3 linked regions of the Mus musculus genome follow. The main gene of each other region encodes a partner of the protein of the gene in region 2 in a complex. Links are inferred from orthologs where the notes say so. Each region holds a gene or a part of one and is shown on either strand. Other genes may lie near its edges.

Region 1 (4,803 bases), on a different chromosome or scaffold from region 2:
CACTACTACCCATGAAATGTCCTGCTGACGTATGAAGGCATGTGTTCCATGGCACTCATGTGAAGGTGTGTGTGTGTGTGGTCGGTTCTCTCTTCCTGCCATGTGGGTACTGAGAATTAAACTCACGTTGCCAGGCTTGGTGGCAGAGACCTGTATAAGCTCAACCATCGCCTACTCCATGCCATACAACTTCAAAAAATAGTTTCTTTAAAACAATTGTTTTTAACGATTTAATTTTATTTATATGTGCACATGTACATGTGTGTTATGCTTGTGCAGATGCCTGCAGAAGTCAAGAGAGAGCAGCAGATCTCACTGAGCTAGACTTACAGGTGGCTGTGAGCAGGCTTCCATAGGTGGTGGGAACTAAACTCAGGTCATCTCAAAGAGCAACAAGTATTCTTAGCCACTGACTTTCTTTCCAGGCCCTAAGGATGTAGGCCAGTTTAGTGTAACTCTTCTAACTGGCTGATGGGAACATGAAATGGCACATCTACATCGTCAGCTCCTCAAAATATTAAGAGTTCCTACATAAGCCAGCAATTCTACTCCTAGCTCTGAGAACAAGAAAAATGTCTATCTACATGTTTATAGCAGCATTCCTAACAGTCAAAAAATAGGAAATAAAAATTCCATTAAGTGATGGACAAAAAAATCCATAAATCTAAGTATTATTCAGATATAAAAAATGGAAAACTGATAAATGTTAGAACATAAATGAATTCTGCAAATGTCATGTAGATGGGTATAACTCCAGCACTCAGGGGGCAGAGGCAATGGCTAGTCTGAGCTACATAGTGAGACTGTGTCAAAACAAACAAAACTCTCACTAAGCAGAAGTAGCCAGACATAAAGGGCCACATGTATTACTACATTTATATAAAATTCTCCAAACAGAAAAATTCACGTGGAAAGACTTGGGCAGTCAAGACGGCTCATGAGTAACAGTCAGAGTTTGATACCATGAGTGTGGAGGGAGAGAGAGAACGAACTCCTGCAAGGAGTCTCTCATCTCCACACCCACACCTACCTAAAAAAAAAAAAAAAGATAGAAAAAGAAGGTGAGTGTTTTGTATAGGACAGGGATGGAAGCAATGGGATTGGAAAGGAGCTGCTGACTGGCATGGAATCTCTTTTGGGGACAAGGAAAATGAGCTGGCCAATGCTATGACTGTCTCACATCTCAAGGGTGTGGCCTTTGTGAAGGTGTCCTGCTCAGCCAGGCTCATTTTCACACTGGCCTTCTGCTTTCCTCACCTGGTGTACAGCACCATTTGCTGAGAAGGCCACTGCAGGGGAGGGAGCAGCTGTGATCACCCCCCCTGCCACTCGAAGCATCGTGGTCCCAGGCTTGGCGAGCTGTGGAGCTGCTGGCACTGACTTCAGGGTGTTGTCTGGTAACTTCAGCAGCGATGCCTGCCCAGCAGTGGCTGCCTGCAGCCATCAAAAGATTGAATGACAACATTGCACAACTTACTCCTTATCTGCATTTGACTGGATTTAAGAAAGTCTTGCCAATGAGGATTGTGTGGCGTGCTATGAACCCTTCCAACAAGTTGAATTCTATAACCTCTGAGGTTCCCTTACACGAAAATGGAACAAATAAATGGATGTATTCCTATTTGTAATTAGTATCTTCAAAGATATCAGGTCCTTTGTTTTCAAAAGAATTGAGTCAAAGTTTTCTTAAATTTCATGGTGTATTTTTGCATTTCATTTTTGAGTGTGTGGTGTGATGTATGTGCAAGTGCACTTGACTGTACATCTATGGAGGCCAAGGAGGACCTCAAGTGTTCTGCTCTATTAGTCTCCGCCTTTTCTCCTGTAGACAAGGTCTCTCAGTGACTGTGGATCTAGACTAGTGGCCAGCTTCAGTGACCCTACAGTGTCTGACCCAGCAGCACTACGGTTATGTGTGCATGGCCACACTAAATGTAAAACAAAAATCTTTAATTACTGTTATTTTGGGTGGGGACAGCTGTGCACATGCTATGATTTGTGAAGTTGGTTCTTTCCACCTTTATGTAGACTACAGGGATTAAACAGGTTGCTATACTAAGTACCTCTACTTATCTACATGAGTGCTGGGAACTTGAACTCAGGTCCTTGCTTAAGTGTTCTTACCCGCACACACCTTTAATCCCAGCACTCGGGAGGCAGAGGCAGGTGGATTTCTGAGTTCGAGGCCAGCCTGGTCTACAAAGTGAGTTCCAGGACAGCCAGGGCTATACCAGGGTTTTTTTGTCTTGAAAAACAAACAAACAAACAAACAAAAAAAAAAAAAAGAAAAAAAAAGGTGTTCTTTCCTATCTCCCTGGAAAGGCTTTAAACACGAGATACTAAAACCACGTAGGGCCAAATTCAGGCAGGTGAGTTAATGGTGCTCTAAGGTAGACTCAGGATCCATCCATCCACCTACCTCCTACACCTACCTAGCGACCGACAGGGATTTTTTTTTTCTCTGTACATGGCCTTGACTGGCTTCAAATTCACAAAGGCCTGCCTGCATCTCTTCATCTGGCCCCCTAACCCCTTACTTGAAGTTTGACAGAAAATACAGCACGCCATCGCATGAAACGGGGACTTATTTTAACTCTGTGGCCTCACTGTGGATCCTGCCCCCCTTACTGTCTTGTCTAAGCGGGGACTGTCTTGGCTAGCTTCAGAGGAAGAGAATGTACCTAGTCCTGCGGTGACTTAAGGTGTCAGGGTGGGCTGGTACTCAGGGGGGGACTTCAACCTTCTTAGAGATGAAGTGGAGGATGGGGTTAGGGGAGAGGCCATCTTGGAGGGGGTACTAGGAGGAGTGAGGGCTGTGATGTAAAGTGGATAAATTATTTAATGGAAAAAAATTACCATGTGTCAAGCATGCAGATGGGTACGCTTACCTGTGTAAACAAAGTGGTTTTCTGTCCAGAGATGACTTTCAGTGTCTGTTGTCCCTGTGCAGATGATGAACTGACTCCCAGTGTTCCTTGAACCACCGATGCAGTAGTCAGTTGTTTTCCAGGTGTTTGGGGTGATGGTTGGCCAACTAAAAATGTACCCTAAGTTGGAGGAAAATAATTCACTAAAATACATTAAACTCTGATGGCCTCCAACTATAGGCTGTAATGTCTCGGCTGCCTTCTACAACTCAAAGAACCAATCACTAGGAGTGCCACTAGGAAGCCCACCCTACTGGTTTAAAACCACAACTGGATTTATTCCTACTTTCTTCAATTGGAACGACTGGACCATGTCTGAATACGGCCGTGGAGGAGGATAAAGACTTCAACAAAAAGAAAAAGAAGAATGAAGCTTGTCCTCAATGAATCCAACCCGAACACCACAACCTGATGCTGCCTCTGCTTTGACCTTTCTAAGAGCAGAGTTTCAATTGTACATTAATTGTTTACTACCTAGTAGATGGGGAGCGGGGATAATTAGCATAGCAGGCTCTTTCTTTGGGGCAGGAAAATAGGGCTCAAATCCAAACTCTACCATTAGCTTAGCAGGAAGGTCTTAGATTAATTATTTAATCTTCCTGAATCTATCTTTTTACTTCTCAAAACCAAACAAGCTCAAAATAATACAGATTTAATGTCTACCATGGTAAAGGGAAATCATAATAATTAAAGGCATTATCAGGAAGTGAAGTAATTTACAAGATCAGGCATTTGCTTCCCAGACCTGGGGGGTTTGCTTGAGGATGTAGGATGTGTAAGTCAGGTGCTGGGGGCCCCCTCCTGGGCCAGAGGTGCTTGGGGTTCCTCCTGCTCCGCTGCCACCGCCACCTCCACTGCCTCCCCCTGCACCACTGCTGCCACTGCCACCAGCAGCAGCCGAGCCAGACTGCAGGTCTGTAAGCAAAATGGGTGACAGGAGCATCACAGGAAGTAGCTCAACAGGAAAAGCAGATGAGCGCAGATGCTTCGCCCACACTACCGTTCCTCCATGTCCTGCTCATCGATGACGAGTGAGGAAAACTCCCCAGAGTTTAAAGACGGAGACTGAATCTGCTTAGACTTTCAGCATGTACAGTCTGGAAATCTTAAATTCAAAGCATTTTGGATACTGAAGTAACATCAAAGTTCTAGATTATGGAGCATTTTAGATTTTTCGGACTATACTTGATAAAGTCTCTATAAAAATTCCAAATTCTAAAAAACTGCAATCAATGCCTGGTCTCAAGCATTCTAGATAACAGGACACTTGACTAGTACTTTTAAAGAGACTGGTAGCTGACTATACCTCCACTCTGAGTACCAATGAAGATTTTTGACAGTACTTTGACTGAAGATGAAAATCTGATGCTAATATTTTCTAGACAACATTTTTAAATCAAATTAACCATCTCTGGCTCCAAGTTCTCAATTCTTTTCAGATCAAAGCCTTCCCCCTTTCCTTCCATGGTAGTGAGCTACGTGGTCTGTAGTAAGCATACATTTAACAAGTTTTGCCACCTTGATTACAGCAAGCACAATCCTTCAACAGCCTCTGACCCTGAGGAAGGTGGAGACCAGAGATGCTGTCTGCTCTCACACAGAATATGGAGGCTGGCCCTTCCTTACAAATCTTTTTGACACTGTGCTATTTAGGTGTGAGGAAAATAGAGTAAGCGGCAACAAGCCATTATAGAAATGTTAAGTGGCTTAACAACGTACTGGGCAAGGGTCAGTCACTTCTCCATCTAAGCATTGCCAGTCCTGATGAGATTGCGCATATCTGAGGTAGTCTGTCAACAGCCAAGGGACGTCATTTCTAACAAGCCTGGCTCCTATACTTCAATTCAGAGGGAAATCTATATTTTCGACATCACCC
Region 2 (5,256 bases):
TCTTTTTCATCTTTAAAATCTTGTGAACTTTTAAAGTTAAAAATACTGTACTTCAAACCTGGAGTTGAACTCATTTGCAGTGGCCAAGACCTTTAATCCCAGCACTTGGGAGGCAGAGGCAGGCAAGTCTCTCTGAGTTTGAGGCCAGCCTGGTTTATAGAGTTCCGGGACAGCCAGGGGTACACAGAGAAACCATGTCTCAAAAAGCAAAAATAAAATAAAATAAAATAAAATAAAGAAAAGCTGGGGTTGCAGGTATAAACAATTTAGACAGTGGCTTGGGAGAACTCAGAAGCACTCTGTAGACATGACTCCCATATGAGAAAGTTTGCTTATAATATAGTAATAGCACAAAATGGCAGGCTAACCAGGTAACAGTTACCTAGGACTTAACATTCCATCTAGATTTTAATATTTTATCTAGGTCTTTATACATCTGAACCAAAATTTACTTATTTTGAAGAAGAAACTTGTTCTTTATAATCAAAGATTGAACTTACTAGCACTGATATAATGAAGAATATTTAGTTCCCAGCAAGCATTTTGGAGAAAATGTTGAATGAAAAAATTAACTCAAGGCTGGTGTTCTAGCTCAGTGCTGAAGCTGCATCTAGTAAGGTGGGTAGGAGGGGATGGTTGACAATGATAGTCTCCTGGAAACCAGACATCTTAAAGCATTGCCACAGTCCAGCTGCCAGTCTATCAACAAAGAACACGATGAACTAAACTGTGCACGTAGATTTAACTGGCTTAGTCCTTTCAAAAGTTACAACTTTCCACTATTAATTAATGTGACAGTATGTGAGGATTTGCGTGTGTTGAGACAGGTTTTTTCTGTATTGCCCTGGCTGTCCTGGAACTTGATTTGCCTGCCTGAGTGTCGTGTCCTAAGTGCTGGGATTAAAGGCGTGAGCCACTGTCGCCCAGCTGAGCTTATCTTAAAAAAAAAAAAAAGTGATTTCTGTGATGAACGTGGCACTAGTTATTAGTAATCACTTGGAACGAAGCAGATATCGGACTCTCATAAGATAAACCTTTTTTTTTTCTTGTCTTCCTTTCAAAAGCAAGTATGCAGAGGGCCATAGCTCATGGTATGCCAAACATTTTCATTACTTTAGATCAGACTACCAGTTTCCTGACTTAGCCACTTGTGGTACCGAGGACAGCCACTTCTTTGAAGGCTTCATTTCTTTCTCACAAATGAGAACAGGGAGCTCTGATCTGAATGCTGTGAAGTAGTTGTAAAGGCCTGTCCTCCCCACTCTGCTCTTTTCACTCCGCGCCCTAATCCCGACAGCTAAGGAGATAGGAAAAGGAAGTTCTTTAGTAAGGACCAGGGCTCCCCTGCCACGTGGCCCTCCGCGGGCCCTTCTGCCCGCAGAGCAAGCGAGCTCCAGGGCCCGACGGAGGAGACGCCGGGTCGCCGTGCGTGGGGGAGCGGCAGGCGGAAGCTGCGGGCTGCCAAGCCCCGCGGCTCCCGCCCGTCCGGGAGGGGGTAGGGGCGGGGCGTGCACACGGAAATCCATCGAGGAGGGCGGGTGGGACCTGGGGAGTTCGACTTCCGGTGGCGCAAAGCGTGCCGGGATCAGCTTGCGGCAAACCTCCTTCCCCGGCCCGTAGAGAGACCACCGTTAGCGCCGCTCCTGCTCGCACAGCCTGCTCTCGGCCACACGCTTGGCCGCTGCGGCTCCCGCAGTGTTCGGCCCGGTCCACTTGGTTTCCCAGGCAGCCGGCGTGCGCTCAGCTGCGGCTTCGGCAGACATGTTGTGAGGCGGCGGCGCGGGTGCCTGAAGGATGGTTTGGCCGAGGCGGCTGCAACCGCTGCTGGTGGCGGCGTCCTCGGGGGCTCCGGCTCTGTAGAGCTGACCCTGCTCAGTGTCCGCCCGGGACCGCGGCCGGGCGGGTATTCCTCTGTCTTGCGTGCGCTCCCGTGCCGTTTAGGTTCGGTTAGACGACAGCGCCAGTCCGTTTGAGGCGACACGCAGGGTGGTTCTCCAGCCCTGGGAGTGGTGTCCCTAGAACCCTCAGCCCCCTGACCTTTCCTTCATATTCCCACTAAAATCTCTCACACAGTGGGTGTTCCCTGCCCTCCAGCCCTCCTTCCTGGTTTCTGCACTCTCTTCTCTGAGCTTCCCGGACCCCAACATCCCTCTCCAGGGACAGCCTGTTGAGAAATCTTCGTGGAGTGGTGGACCAGAGGCGAGGAGTTTAAAAGTTGGGGCTTGAAAGACAGGAAGATACGATGGCTTCCTCGTCTGGCAACGACGATGATCTCACTATCCCCAGAGCTGCTATAAATAAGATGATCAAAGAGACTCTTCCTAATGTCCGGGTGGCCAACGATGCCCGAGAGCTGGTAGTGAACTGCTGCACGGAATTCATTCACCTTATATCTTCTGAAGCCAACGAGATTTGTAACAAGTCAGAAAAGAAGACAATTTCACCAGAGCATGTTATACAAGGTAAGCGATTTGTGTGGGATTTGGTTTCGATGAAGGATCAGGGGAACAGTCAAGCTAATAGAGTAACCACTTGGCGTCACAGAGCCTTCATTCCACTTCACTAGTAAGCACAGTTAATGAAAAGTCAAAACGGCATAGAGACAGCTTGTACCTTAAGAAAACACCTATGTAGCATTCTTCTGACATTGTTTTCATCCGGCTAGTGCAAATAAGGAGTGCAGACATTAGGGTCAACAGACATCCGCAACCCCTCACTAGTACAGTTTCCAATCAGGTCTTAAAACAACAAGAATTGACTGCCCACAGCTAAACGTGGATAATAACAACTGAGAAAGGAAACTCAAAGTTCTCTCTTGGAAAGTTAAATTTTAGAACTTCGAGCATGAGTTGAGTCAGAGAGTACCTCTCCCTCACCTGTATCGAGGAAAAGATTCATTTTTGAACACAGGGGTAGGAAAAACCCTTGGGCTGGTGACGGAGGTCAGTGGTGTATCATCTAGCAATCTTGCACAAGGGTCCTAGCATTGAGTTAAAAAAAAATATTGACATGAGTGTGTTAAGTGTTGTAAAGTTAATTGCTTTTCAAAAAGGAAGTATATTTTTGCTTTAAAATCGCTAAGAAGGTGGAACAGTCATCACCAGGTAACCAAAGCGAGCACCACATTTTTTTCTTTTTGACTCCCTCCAACTATTGATTGTTCTTTGAAGATTATTTGTAAAAGATGACTGGGGCAGGGCGGGAACGACAGTCCTGGGGCTTGAACGTAGGGCCTGACACACGCTAGTCAGCATTCTGTTGCCGGTCCTTCTCGCCTGCTGGTCCCCTTTGGATGTGTTTATACATTTATCTTTTATTGAAAAGCACATCTAAAAGTTTCGACAGTTTCTTCCTTATGCTGGAAAAGACTAGGAGACTTTGATGGTTACAGGAAAAGGAGACAAAAGTGCTCTTGGCAAATTTTGGGAAGTACTTTCTGTGGTTTTTCATGAACTCTTAGGAGAAGGTTGCATTCAGTTTGAGACAGTCACTTCTGTTTTATAATAATCTATTGGAAATGCGAACAATTTCTTGATTACTTTTATTTAAAGTTAAAAGGAACAAATTTAATCATACTCGGCAGGTAGTTCTCTACCATTGCCTTTTTATAAAGTTAAGTGTTAAATAATTTTACTTTCTTGTTAATGTCAAATAGAGAGCACATGTATTCGTATGGAGCATATCCATTTTACACCGTCAATATTGACAAGAAGATCAATTGATTAATTTTGAGCCTTTATCCTCTGCTGATGGTAGATTAAAAATACATCCTGCTGTGATGAGGGTGTCTCTCAAGGCTGAGTACTTAGCATGGCAGAAGTCAATCCCAGTAGGTAGTGGAGCCATGATGGTGTGTGTGTGTGTATGTATATAAATAGTCATATTATATACACATATACTCTGCCATTTCAGTACATAGTAGATAACTAAGAAAAAAAAGCAATTTTTTTTTTTAGGGTTAGGAAAGGCAAGATGATAATAGGATCCTACTGTGTTGCCTAGCCTGGCCTTAAACTTAAGAGTCTCTTCCTGCAGTATCTTGAATACTGGGATTATGGACATATAACCACCGTTCCCTGTTGCTTATTTGATTCTTTTGTGTGTATGTGCTGAACTTATGTGTGCTAGGTAAGCACTGCACTGCAGAGCTATATTTCCAGCCGACATACTTAATTCTTAAAACTGGTATTTTTAGAGCTGGGCGTGGTGGCGCATGCCTTTAATCCCAGCACTCGGGAGGCAGAGGCAGGTGGATTTCTGAGTTCGAGGCCAGCCTGGCCTACAGAGTGAGTTCCAGGATAGCCAGGGCTATACAGAGTAACTCTGTCTTGAAAAACAAAACAAACAAACAAAAAAAACTGGGTTTTTTTTTTTTTTTTCCTTCTTGTTTGGTTTGCTGAGTGGTAAGAAAAATGGAAGCCAATGTGTTTTTCTTTTTTTGAGTTTTTAAGTCTTTGAGAAGATATTTAACAAATAGCTAGCATTTCCTTTGACTCTTTATGAAGGAATAGAAGAACTGCCTTTGTCAAGCATCAACTTTTTAATGAAAATGGCAGATTTCAGTAGGATCTGCCTAAACATTTGTTTGTAACCACAGAAATGGTGATTGTTCCAAAAATCTAATGACACAATCTGTCTTCCTGGGGGAAAGCTCATTCTTTTCTAGGATATATTTAGAGTTCCAGTTGACATGATTGAAGTGTAGCTGTAGCAAGCCATGTACTAAATAGTTCAACTTTGGAATGTGACTTCAGTTTAATGTATGACTTAGAAAGTTACACTGAAAGGCTATTTTCTTCTGTGTGATGATGGCAATCCACTATTAGAAACTGAACTAGTCTGTTGTCATTCACAAATTTACCCTCATCTTTTAATGTTGCCATTAAGTATATAGGAATATCTATAATTTTGCTCAGATTAGTGTAGATTTTACTGACATCTCATATTATATAATCACCTTAAGTTTTGTTTTGAGAACTTTTCTCTCTTCCCCCATCCCCTTTGGTTGTGTTTGTTTGTTTTTGTTTTTTGGAGACAGGACTGGAACTCACTTTGTAGACCAGAATGGCCTTGAACTCAGAGATCAGCCCATCTCTACTTTCCAAGTGCTAGGATTAAAGGGATATGCCACCACCACTGCCCAGTTAAACAAAAAAGGTTCATGTTTCTTTCCTTTTCTTTTTTTTTTTCTTTTTTTTTTTTTTGTTTTGTTTTTTGAGACAGGGTTTCTCTGTGTAACTCTGGCTATCCTGGAAC
Region 3 (4,803 bases), on a different chromosome or scaffold from region 2:
GAAAATGTTTCTAATATTTGTACCAAAGTGAAAACTACAATTTCTTCCAAATTATGTCTCAACAAATAATTTATAAAAAAGAAATTAGAAATATGTTAAAATAATCTATACTATTAAATATTAGCATAATCATTATATATGAACACATATAAAATAATGACATATAGAAATACAGATTAATGCTTGAAGTAACAGTAAAGCTATACATTGGCTGTAAATTTTGTTAAATTCCCATATTATTTTGTAAAAAAAAAAAAAAAGCATATGACATGAGTTAAAATCCTTTGTTAATCCATAAAATCCGATTTTTTTAAAAACTGAACTTTTTTCTTAGACCAACTGAAAGGTCTTTAAAAAATACAGCAACACATTAAAATTTATTTTTTAAGCTTAAGTCTAACAGACCTGTGATAAACTGAAGTATAAATAAAATTGTAAACCTACTTAATCATTTATATTTAAAGATTAAACACTCATTTTCTTTTCCTTGGAAACACTTCAAAATACATGTAAGGGGGTCTACACTTCTTTCTATTCTTTCATTGGTCTAAGGGATTTTTTTAAAAAGCTACCATCCATTCCAGGGCTACATTGCAAATGCACAGAGCCATCAGAGAGCATGCAGCATAGTGTGGGGACAGGGAATGCTCGTCACTCTCCACAGCAATTCTGGCTAGCACTGTTTTGAGCCAGCAAGGACTGAATGGGCTTAGGAGTCCTGCTGAGCATTTCAATTCTTGTCAATTTCTATCCCCTGGTGGTTTATAATAATAGAGTTAGCAGGAGGAACAGAGGAATAACATTAGTGACACATGTCCTTGCTCCCTCAACAAACCCTTTCTCTTGAGGCGTGTACAGCTGGATTGCCACACCTGAGATTTTCCACTGTTACACCTGCTCTAAAGAGCTAATTCTAGGGATCCACACAAGCTAAAGCAGAAAAGTTTAATTTAGAATCCACAGTAAGCCCACGTTATTATGTTAAGAGTGTCACATATCAATGTGATTATGAGTCATTTCCAGGTTCAACGGACAATTTCATGTTTATAATCATTAACTAAGAGATATTAATGGCAGTAAGAAAAAAATGGTCAACCCAATTACAAACCTTTTTTCATAATTTTTTTCTAAGAACTACTTACAGTCTGGTTATTACAAAGCTAACTGGTTATGATCTGTGGCAATCTACACAGTCTATGGGGTTCTGCAGGTCCTCTGCAGACCTGGAAACACTGTAGCCCCAAACGAAGAGGAAAGGGAGACAGAGGCGAAACGGCAAAGGTGAGACAGCAGTGTGAAAAGGGAGAGGCCTGGGGCTGAGGCTCCACAGGACTTCATGGCAAGCTGGGTGTATCCACCATGAAACTCAGGAGTCAGGAGAAAACTGCTCCCTTGTGAGGGGTGCAAGTAGTGCTACTAGGTTCGCTGGTTCACCTTCACTTTCTAAAGGAACTCTGATCTTCTTGAACCTGTGGTAAACATCTGTCTCTAGAGTTCGGCCTTCACTTGGATTTTTTATGTAACCAAAATGAGAATCAGTTTGGCAACAGAGCCCATTACTAAATAAAGGAAAATTCTACTACCTTAATTATCAACTAAACACCTGCAAAATAGAATCTTGTTCTTAATGTTATATGTTTTTAAAACAAAATATTATAGCAGTTGTCAAGATGTTTAAAATTCTGTTAAAAAAAAAAACTTGTAGTTACCTTGATTACAATCAATAACATTGCAAAATTCCCTGACATTGTTTTCATTGATTTCAGCTTGTTTTCTCTCAATAAATGCAGATATTCGTCTGTCAATCTAAAACAACAAATAATTTAACAATCTAAACACAACAGAACTTTTCAAAGTAATGTTACCCTGACCCGTGTACCTGTCCACACTCACTTCTGCTTTTCCAGCCTTGATCTGAACTACTTCTGGGTCAAAAAGGTTTTGTGTCTTTTTCACATCTCCTACATCACAGTCTTTGGGCTTCCCTTCATCTTGTAGGTCCTCGGTGGGATGTATGGCTCTTAGTTCACTCTTGGTCTCTGCTTCTGTCTGTCTTATCTCTGTAGCTGTTGAGTTTTCTTTCATTAAAGACTGAAGTTTTGCTAAAAAAGGCTGGAAAGAACACAGTTACATCTGTTCAGGTTCAAACTCATCTCAGCTAGTGATAGATTTATCTAAGCTGCTGCTACAGAAATGAATATTATCAGTTATTAAACATAAAAAGCTGGCATACAAGGACACACAGATCTTAACACACACAGGTTTGCTGTTTTCTACTACTGTACATTGCCCTTATCATTTACTGTACATTTATTTTTAAAAAAGAAGAAAAGAAAGAAAACCTGAGGACATTTAAATTTTTCTTTGAGGAAATCATTCTGTCATTCATCTTTTATTTTGTGCTAAATCAAAGCCTCAGACTCTGGCCTGGATGCCTCTTAATTAACATGTCATTCAGAACACTAGGCTGAGTGTTCTCCCTCCTTAGCAGGAGGGCAGTGCTCACTCAGCAAAGCCCTGCATTATCACTGTATCGCTGAGACTCTCCACTTCAAAGTACAGTTGGCCAAAATGAATGAGAGAGCATGGATATGAAGTATATAGGTGTTACCCTGAGTGAATAGTCAGCCTTTCTCTGTCATAGTATGATATCTTATTGGGACATGAAATGAAATTTCACAAAAGAAAATGCACACGGGGAGAAGAAAGAGAAAGGAAGGAAGGAAGGAAGGAAGGAAGGAAGGAAGGAAGATAGGTAGATAGAAAGAAAGAAAACAAAACATGCTATACACGTTGGAAACAGATCATTCCAACTACAGTAGGTTAAAAAAAATGTCTTCATAATGGAAATTCACTTCCTTTCCTGTCATCCCCACCTGGATATGGTCCACATTTGAGTTCTATAGCTCATCACTTGCCCTTTAAACAAAGTGTTAACTGTTATTTTTATCATGAAACACAGCTAAACATCCCAGAAAGTACTCTTCTGAAATCTTCTAACATCTTCAACAGGGTAAAGTGACCAGAAAAAGCAGTTCTGCTTATCCTGATGAGAGAAAACCTCCAACTCCCATCAATTACACTCGCAGAGATGTTAAACAACAACAGCAAGGTTATAATACTGTTCATTTCTTAAACTGAAATATTAAAAATGTAACAATACCATTATAAATAATTCAATATTGACTTCCAATAAAGGATAAATTATTTCAAATTATTAAGATGAAATAGTGACTGGCTACTCACTAAGATGAAACATTAATGTCACAGAAATTACTTTCTTTTTAAAAACTATGCTGAAACTGTTTAATTGCAATAGACACTCCAGGATGTATCATGCTGGGATAATGCCACTTCTTGAACCACTGAAAGCACTCCATGAGCCTCCAAACTCACCCAAGGCATGGAATCATTATCATAGCATGACTCACACCTGCCGTGTCTTATTGCTTAATTATAACCCACCATAGATGAACTGTATTGAATTTTCAGCAAAGCCTAGAATTGAATAGAATTGCATTTATTCAATCTCATACCCACATTGGCCTATTGGGCTATATTCTCATAACTATTCCGATCACTAGTGAAATTAACAGACCTAGACTCAATATGGATTTTAATAACCTTTTATTAATAATACTGTTAACAGAATGTTGAGGTAGAACTGAAAAATACTCCAGTTAATTTAACTATAGGTAATTTCTATTTTCAATATCCAGTAAATATTTCTAATATGAAATTTACCTGTAAATACAAAACGTGTTGTTCAAGTGCAGTAAGGAGCAGTGCAGGCTGGGATGCTGAGAGGCTCTGGAGCCTGTTCCAATCGATTGTAATTTTCACCACATCATCTCTGAGGTTAAGCTTCAAAGAGGCAAACCAGCAACATCACAAAAATTACACGATTAAGCTGTATATCTGGGATTATCACAAAAATAAGATTTCTATGGAGTAATGCATGCCTATTTTGCTCAAAGTTACTAAGTTTCAATGACATAATAAAATGCTTTACCCAGTTGCCATTTTAAAAAGCCAAAAGGCACAGTTTTGAAAATAAAAAGTAAAAACATGTCTTATTATTTTAATTCTGTTCCTGGGGCCATCTTTGAAAAGCCATCCATGAAAGATAAACCTCTTTTGATACTTTGATATTTTAAAGACCACTGGAAGGTATCCAAAAATAGATCTGCCCTAGTCAGAATCCTACTGAATCCCAACTAGGCATTCAACAGACGAAGATCAACTACGACAGTCCAGAAAGTGTATTCTCTTTGTTACATATCACACAAACACATGCCTAAAATATATCATTACTCTGATGTCTTCTCAATTATTTTTATTGTTTTCAAACTTAGCTAATTAAAAAAGTATTTAAGACTTAAGATTATTCACACATAGGGACAGATGACAGTAACTACTTCAAATAAAAATTAAACTATCAGTTATGAAATTATTGAGATAAAAACCAAGTACTTTCCCAAAGCAGTACAACGAAGCCAAAAGTCAATGTCCAGTGTGTTTCCTAAGGGTTTTCTAGAAAGATATGTCTCATAACACGGAAACTTCTCACCAGGTAGTGATTTATTAGAACAAAAGTATATCCAGAACACTACCAAGAATATAAAATTAATATCAAAATCAGTCAAAACTTTAGAGGGAGAAGCTTCCACCTGTACATTTGACTGAGTATAAGGGAATCACTATAAACTTTGCTAGACACAATTCAAGTGGAAACAAGTCAATTGTACTTATTTTGCAATAATAATTTATTAAAAATTATGTCATATTTTCTACAAAGTAAAG

What was found.
Region 1: Dr1 (region 2) and Yeats2 share a complex: the UniProt entries of both Homo sapiens proteins name them as parts of the ADA2A-containing complex. The link is inferred for Mus musculus from reciprocal best matches to the Homo sapiens genes DR1 and YEATS2.
Region 3: Dr1 (region 2) and Mbip share a complex: the UniProt entries of both Homo sapiens proteins name them as parts of the ADA2A-containing complex. The link is inferred for Mus musculus from reciprocal best matches to the Homo sapiens genes DR1 and MBIP.

Annotation. Positions count from the first base shown.
Region 1 is NC_000082.6:20,206,663-20,211,465, reverse strand, and holds part of Yeats2 (YEATS domain-containing protein 2), read right to left. Parts: intron 3,843-4,803; coding exon 3,673-3,842; intron 3,048-3,672; coding exon 2,889-3,047; intron 1,435-2,888; coding exon 1,258-1,434; intron 1-1,257. UniProt on the Homo sapiens protein: Chromatin reader component of the ATAC complex, a complex with histone acetyltransferase activity on histones H3 and H4. YEATS2 specifically recognizes and binds histone H3 crotonylated at 'Lys-27' (H3K27cr).
Region 2 is NC_000071.6:108,267,348-108,272,603, forward strand, and holds the start of Dr1 (protein Dr1), read left to right. Parts: upstream 1-1,549; 5' UTR 1,550-2,242; coding exon 2,243-2,462; intron 2,463-5,256. UniProt on the Homo sapiens protein: The association of the DR1/DRAP1 heterodimer with TBP results in a functional repression of both activated and basal transcription of class II genes.
Region 3 is NC_000078.6:56,338,492-56,343,294, forward strand, and holds part of Mbip (MAP3K12-binding inhibitory protein 1), read right to left. Parts: intron 3,919-4,803; exon of another isoform or gene 3,865-3,918; coding exon 3,745-3,864; intron 2,113-3,744; coding exon 1,894-2,112; intron 1,807-1,893; coding exon 1,710-1,806; intron 1-1,709. UniProt on the Homo sapiens protein: Inhibits the MAP3K12 activity to induce the activation of the JNK/SAPK pathway. Component of the ATAC complex, a complex with histone acetyltransferase activity on histones H3 and H4.